Linked DNA regions of Coturnix japonica. The protein of the gene in region 2 interacts with the protein of the main gene of each other region in a pairwise test. Links are inferred from orthologs where the notes say so. Each region holds a gene or a part of one and is shown on either strand. Other genes may lie near its edges.

Region 1 (3,821 bases), on a different chromosome or scaffold from region 2:
TTATAGTTTCTAAGTCTGGAGTAATCGTTAGTGGTTAGACAGCTCGATGCTATGTTTGCTTGCTTACAAGACACCTTGATCACTCTATGCTTGTGTGTTTCTATTTCCTATAGTAAAATACTCTAGAGACATGCTACGTACCTACATGTTAGGATCTACAAGTGGGAGATATTTAAAAGCTTCAAATGACTATTGACAATCTGAGATGCAAGGGAGACCTGTGGCATTTCTCAATCTTGGACAACCTAATGCAGCTTTCTCATCCAGTATTTGGAGCATAAGTTGTAGTGGGTTTATATTGAATTAATATGAGCTCTTGTCTTCTAAAAGTTTGTAGAGGTGTCTACTGAGACTTGGTGCACGCAGGATGGGAAAGAAGCCTGTGGCTTTAGTGGATTCTAGGATGATAGATGTGCAGTCAGTGTAGCTGTCAAGACCTGACTTACAGACCATAATCCTGGTACAGCTTACAGCATAATGCTGTTTTATCGAAGGCTTGGAAAGGACAAGAGCAGCCTTGAGAGCAGCTGAAAGAGAAGGACCTGGGGGTCTTGATGGACGAAAGACTCAACATGAGCCAGCAGTGCACTCTGGCAGCCCAGAAAGCAAATGGGATCCTGGGCTCCGTCAGGAGAGGGGTGGTCAGCAAGGATAGGGAGGTGATTGTCCCTCTCTACTTGGCACTTGTGAGGCCCCATCTGGAGTACTGTGTCCAGGTGTGGAGCCCTCAGTACAAAAAAGACATGGAGATTTTGGGAAGGGTCCAGAGGAGGGCCACAAAGATGATCAGGGGGCTGGAGCACCTCCCCTATGAGGACAGGCTGAGGGGGTTGGGTTTGTTCAGCCTGGAGAGAGAAGGTTTGCGGGGGACCTCATTGCAGCCTTTTTCAGTACCTGGACAGGAACTTACTCCCAGGAGGGGAGTAAAACTCTTCGAAAGGGCTGACAGTAGCAAGACAGGGGAAATGGTTTTAAGTTAAAAGAGGAAGATTTAGGTTGGTGATTTGGAGGAAGTTCTTCCCTAGGAGAGTGGTTAGGCCCTGGAACAGCGCTGCCCAGGGAGGTTGTGGATGCCCCGTCCTTGGAGGTGTTCAAGACCAGGGTCGGACGGGCCCTGGCAACCTGATCTTAGTAAAGGTGTATGTTTGGTGGCCCTGCCAGGCAGGGGGGTTGGAACTACATGATCCTTGAGGTCCCTTCCAACCCGGGTCATTCTGCGATTCTGTCTGATTCTGTGACAAGGGTGAGGAAGTTCAATACTAAGCTTTGTTCTGCTTTACTGCTGCTGTGAATAAGATGTTTCTTGGGCAACAATGGAAAACACCCTGAAAAAACGGGATAGCTGTCTAAGTGAGCACTGCATACAACTGGGAGACATCCTATAATTTTTCTTATGAGAACCCTTCTTACATTTTTTGCATGACTTATTTTCTTTTAGAAATGTATCCAAAGAGGATTACTTTTAACCTGTCTTTTTTTTGTTGGTTTTATTTTGCTTTGCTAATGTACATGAGGAAATCCAACCATTCTTCAAATTGTTTTTATTTTTAGGTATACAAATTGGTCTTTGAAAACCTTTTTCTCCTTTGGTCTTGAGGAAAATGACATGCAGAGTAGCAGCGTCTTTTGTGGTCACACAGTTTGTCTGCTGGCCACTTCAAAATGTTTTCCACTGTAATTAACTCTTAATCAGAGTACTTTGTTAAATGTAATGCATATTGTTCATTTAAGGTGTTCAAATGACTGGAGTCAGGCTTTCTTTTCCTTGAGAATTTCTGTTGCTTTGTGTGATCTGACAGGTCATAGGAATTTGTATAATTTAGCACAAGCTTTGAAGAAATTATAATCATGAGCTATACGTCTGTGTTTCATGAAAGAATTGTAAATTAAGGGTAGGTGTTTCAAAGCTTCCCCAAAAAGATGGATTTCTGACTTCCAAGGGAAACAAGTGGGAGGTTATGAGTTTTAGAATTTTCTTGAGGATGAAGAATTTGGGAAGTCTTGTATCAAATTCCTTCTGCCCCATTGCTTCTCCGAAAGCTTTCTCACCCTCAAGTCACATTGCTTGTATACCTAAATGTCTTAATTGTGTCGATGTTGTTTACAATTGATGCCAAGTTGTTGGAGGAGCAGCAAGTAGATGTTAAGATACTTTCTGGCTCTTAGCATTCTATTTGCATAGGTAAAGCAGCACTTGTAGAAATGCCATTTCATTTTTTTATTACTTGGCAGGCAGAGTTACGAGCAGCTGTTTTTTTGGCATTAGAAGAACAAGAGAAAGTAGAGGTAAGATGATTTTAAGTGTTTCAGTTTTGACTTTCTGACAGTTCTTCCTGTATAATTAAAAATAATTACTTTAATACTTTATGTATTACTTTAATACTTGTGTGCCCCGGTGGCGCAGTGGTAGGAATGCCGTGTTGCAACACCGGAGGCCCTGGGTTCAAATCCCCCCTGTGGCACAAGTGGTCGAAGTGCCACTCTGCAGCACAGGAGGCTCAAATCCTGGGGTTTGGACTCGGTGATCTCTAAGGTCCCTTCCAACCCTCTAGACTATTACCTATTACCTATTATTACCTATTATATTTGTGAAGTGTAACAAGAGAAAATGACTATCACTGCGTAAGAGCTTAAAAAAAAACTCCTCACAAAGGTCATCTTTCCAGTATTTAGAAATTCAAAGTCTCACATAACCTTTACTGTAAAACTGCTCACAGGAAACTGTTTATCACTGCTGCTTTTATGTTGCTCGGGTCCATTTGACTAGGGTAATTAAATATCTTTTCTTGCCAAGTACTACTTTAATAAATGTCCTATTGACAGCTGGAAACTTTATCCAATCAGAAAAAGTCTTTTGAAATGTAAGGTATTATAGTGGTCGATTTTGAGAAGTTTTGTGACCCCTTTTTCTGCCAGCATTGCCTTTTTTCCTGTGTCTGTTTATTCTTTAGACCTAGAGAAGAGAGGGTGCAGATGCTGTATGTCTGGGCTGTGTATTTTGAAAATGAAGAATGGAAAGCTGCCCCTTTCCTCTGCTGTTTTGTTGGTTGTGCTCTTTCTGGAAGAACGCACAACTGCAATAGATGTTATTGTGACAGTGGTAATGATGGGAAGCATGAGTAATTATTCTATGGCGTGAGACTCCATATGTCAGAAAGGTAACATGAGATTGCTGAGGAAGAAATAATGGAAGAGTGATGTAGTACCATTCCTAAATACTAGGAAAGTTGTTTTGGTTTGGTTCTTTTAAATACTGGTGAGGGACTTTCGTGTGTATGTTAACTATCACTGTTTATAAGTGCTGCCTCTAACAGATCCTTTCCTTAAATTTAGTTAGGTTCCTGTCCAGGGTGTTTTCACATATTAAGAATGATTAAGAAGTAGGATTCAGAGAGGTGAATGGCACGTACCATGTGCTGTATGTATGAGTGTACATCAAAACACCAAACTGTTGTGATTTATTTACTTATTTATTTTACTATTTTGTTTTTAACTTCTTAATAGCTCAAGGATGTTGTTAATTAACATTTGCTTTTTGCTTTTTGACAGAACAAAGCACCCCTGGTAAATGAAAGCTTGAAGAAATTTTTGAGTACAAAAGATGGTAAGTTCTGGTTACCACGTCTCAAAATTAAAAAGAACAACAAATAATGGATTGAATCTTCCGTGACATAAAGAATGCCTTTATTCCCATCAAATAAAAGCAGTTCTTACAACTGGCTTTGGAATAGAGTATGATCTAGAATTTTTAAGTTAATGTCTCTGAAGTCTTATTTTTAACTGAGGTGACTAGTATATTTAAGTTAATATTTCATGATGAG
Region 2 (3,415 bases):
CACCCTCCATATGTGACCACAGGGACATGCCCAGAGGCCAACACGAAACCGGCGCAGATGTGAACTTCCATGGTGAACGTTTCACATCTGCGTGTTTTGGAGGGCGAGGGCTGCAATCCACACGTGGAAAGGTAAAGTGGAAGAGGGGCAGATCTATTTGGATCTGTCAGTGAAGCTTCAGCCTTAGGGTAAACCACTAAGAACAGAAGGACTGGGATGCTGACCCCGTCCCACACTGCACTGGTGGTGGCACCACTGCTGGCAGTGCCCGCTGTGCCAGTGAGACAGAACCTCAGACCTCAGGGATGTACAACAACTGGCCGAAAGACACAAGAATAAATTATATTTCTGGTAATGGTGTTTTATCTGTTTATCTCTCCTGGTTACCACATGCTTTGTGGTCAATGGGGTGAGCTCTGAGCATGGAGCTGCAGAAACAGAGCCAGGCACAGCTGTGGAAAGATCTGGAGAAGGCCATCACATCCACCCTTTCACGTGGCCATTTTTTGTCCCTATTTCAGATAGAAATAGCCAAAAGCCATCTACTATCTACACAGGTACCTGCTGGGGGATCACTCAGACTATTTCAGCCACTCTTCTGCTTGTGAGCATCCCCAAAGTGCTTCCAAAACTGACTTGTTTTTGAAATGCTCAGGTTTTTTAATGAAGGATTTAACCTGTGCAACCTGAAATGGCAAACGTGGCCTCTACTGAGGGAAGGTGAGAGTGATATCCTCAATGAGACACTGATGTATCCAAACGTATATTTCACATTCCAACCGAGGTGGTGATAAACACCACAGGCACCCAATAAAGTGTATTATTGCTTCCAAGATGTAAATACTTAACATTTCATTTTCAGATAAAGCTGAAGAGAAATCACAGGAAAACATGGTGAGGTTTTCAGCCAGATGGAAACAAAGGAAAGATAAATTAGTTAAATTGGGGCACTCCTACGTTGGAAATGAGTAAAACAGCCACCAAGTTCAGCTGTCTCGTTTCAGCTTTCTCAGTTCAGCTCCTTACACTGCATATAAACCTGAAACTGCTGGAATATCTTAGGCCTCAGATTCTCCATGGCCAATTTCAAGCCACACCAACAGGAGATGCTGCAGTGGAGGGAGCAGGATGGCACTGTTCTCTCCTAGGAATATGGGATCTGTTTCTGCCCATCCAGCTCCTCTCGGTCTGCAATCAGACTTCTTCACACGACTCCCCATCCCATCCACAGGACTCCAGCTGCTCATCCTGGGGAAACTCCACCTCGATGTCATAGACAAAGTCCGGGTCGTCCTTTTTCTTCCTGTTCTTTTCGAAGAGCTCGTCCATGATGCGTTTCCTTTTGGCTAACTCCTCATCGTCCAGTTTGTTCATGTCCTCCTCGGGGTCAATGTTCTGCTCCTGCTCAATCTTCCCCAGGCTCTCAGCCAGGCTCTCTCCCCTCAGGTGGCCTCTCAGCAGAACGTGCAGCTTCTTTAGCTGACACAGCGACACTCCTTCCAGGTAGGCTTTGTGCCGAGGGTTATTCTTCAGCTGCTCAGCAGCGACGCCGCAATCTAAACACAAAACCACCGTGAGGAGTTACAAGGGGCAGGCGGATCTCTTTAAGTAGAGATATGGAGTTGAGATGGAGAGGAACCGGGGGAGAACCAACACACCTGAGGACTGGGAGAAGTTCCTGACGGGGATGATGCGCCGCCGGGTCTTGTCGTTGTCCCTGTAGATGAGGATGACGGATGGCGGCTGGAAGCGGACGCCGCACTGCAGCGCCGTGCGGCTCATCCTCCTTCGGGCTGCCCGCTCCAAGTGCCTGAGGAACGCGACTCAAAATGGCCGCCCGAACCATCCGAGTGAATCGGGCAGCGCCGCGGGCAGCCCCGGCCGTGAGGTGAGGCGGGGGTTCCAAGATGGCGGCCGTGCGGTGGCGGTGGGCGTTAAGCGCGTTGCTCTGTGCCTTCCGTAAGTATAACGCCGTCGTGCCGTCAGCAGCCGCGCTGTGCTCCCGGTGCCGCTGCTCACTCGGTCTGTGCCGTTTCAGACGCTCAGGCCGCCTGCGTGAGGAGCGCCGTGTCTCAGGAGCTGCTGAAGGAGGGATTGCACAGGTGAGGCCGGGTTTGCCTTCACACGGAGTCATAGAACGGGCTGGGTTGAAAAGTACCACAGTGATCATCAGTTCCGACCCCTGCTGTGTGCGGGGTCACCACCACCAGACCGGGCTGCACAGAGCCACATCCAGCCTGGGAGCCATCGTTTCATAGACATCTTAAACTGCGTTTCACTGCTTTCCACTCTGTTGAAAGTTTCCCTCTGACAATTCTGGATTTAGTAGCTGTAAGAAAGGTAGATATCCATGAGAACTCAAATTTAAAGTCAGTATGCTTAAACAGGATCTTACTGAATGTATCAGTTGTCGTAATGAACTGTATTGGAACAAAGTGGCATGGTTCCAAATGTATAGGCATTTTCTGGTGATGTTGATTCTCAATGTTTTAGCTAAAATTGGAATATAGGTTGGTTTAGGAAATAAATGAGCATCATAAGGATCTGTTTTCATATCTTTCAAAGACATTAAAGAAGCATAGAACCTTTTTACAATTATTATTAAGTTGTCTTGGACAAAATTAGTTCTGGAAGCCCCTTATTTCTGAGGTTCAGATATGTGAGTAGTTGGAAAATGTACTGTAGACAACAATCCTCAACACAGATGTAGATAATTTCTATTTGTTTCTTAATTATTTCTTTCAAGCTGAGTGATGGATCAAAAGTAGTTTTTTATAGTGAGTATACTGTTGTAATAGCGTACCACAGCAGGATCATATCAGTTATAGGTACCTTCACTGTTCTGCCTGTCTCCTGGGAAACTTAATGTGACCTGATATAGGTGTTCCTGCTCTGGCAGGAGGATTGGACTAGATGATCTTTCAAGGTCCCTTCCAATCCCTGACATTCTGTGATTCTTTTCACATGCAGTGCGTGTGTCTGTGATTCTTTTCTCACATATTTAGGATCTATTGCTTGTTCTGTGTGGGCTGCAGTCGCACTGTGCTTTCTGGGGTTGTCAGCAGCACAGAGCAGCTGGTAAAGCCGAGCTTCACTCTTGGGATGTGCTACACCCATCTCTGAGCATTTGACAGTTTGACACTTGGAGGTTTTTCTGCTGTCTCTCAACACGCAGGTGTCAGCATTGTGCCCCCATGGTTTGCTTTAAGGGAGCTGCTGGTGAAGGCGGAGCTGGGCAGCACGGGGCAATGGACAGAAGGATGCACGGTGGCTGCTAGGACTCAGCTGCCAGCAGGAGTCTACGTGGATCCCGATGAGCTGGCGTCACTGCAGCAGCACAACGTAACCAAGGTAAGGAGGCAGGAGCTCAGCCATGGGGGGCTTCTCACATAAAGGCTGAGCCTGCATTTAGCCA

What was found.
Region 1: the proteins of CEP19 (region 2) and CEP43 interact in binary tests that used the Homo sapiens proteins (3 or more experiments, as listed by UniProt). The two-hybrid records come from large-scale screens. The link is inferred for Coturnix japonica from reciprocal best matches to the Homo sapiens genes CEP19 and CEP43.

What each region holds. Positions count from the first base shown.
Region 1 is NC_029518.1:38,160,974-38,164,794, reverse strand, and holds part of CEP43 (FGFR1 oncogene partner), read left to right. Parts: intron 1-2,232; coding exon 2,233-2,286; intron 2,287-3,549; coding exon 3,550-3,604; intron 3,605-3,821. UniProt on the Homo sapiens protein: Required for anchoring microtubules to the centrosomes. Required for ciliation.
Region 2 is NC_029524.1:3,566,734-3,570,148, reverse strand, and holds CEP19 (centrosomal protein of 19 kDa), read right to left. Parts: upstream 1,807-3,415; 5' UTR 1,783-1,806; coding exon 1,659-1,782; intron 1,557-1,658; coding exon 1,195-1,556; 3' UTR 640-1,194; downstream 1-639. Other genes in the region: PIGX (phosphatidylinositol-glycan biosynthesis class X protein), read left to right, coding at 1,908-1,959, 2,039-2,102, 3,210-3,351. UniProt on the Homo sapiens protein: Required for ciliation. Recruits the RABL2B GTPase to the ciliary base to initiate ciliation.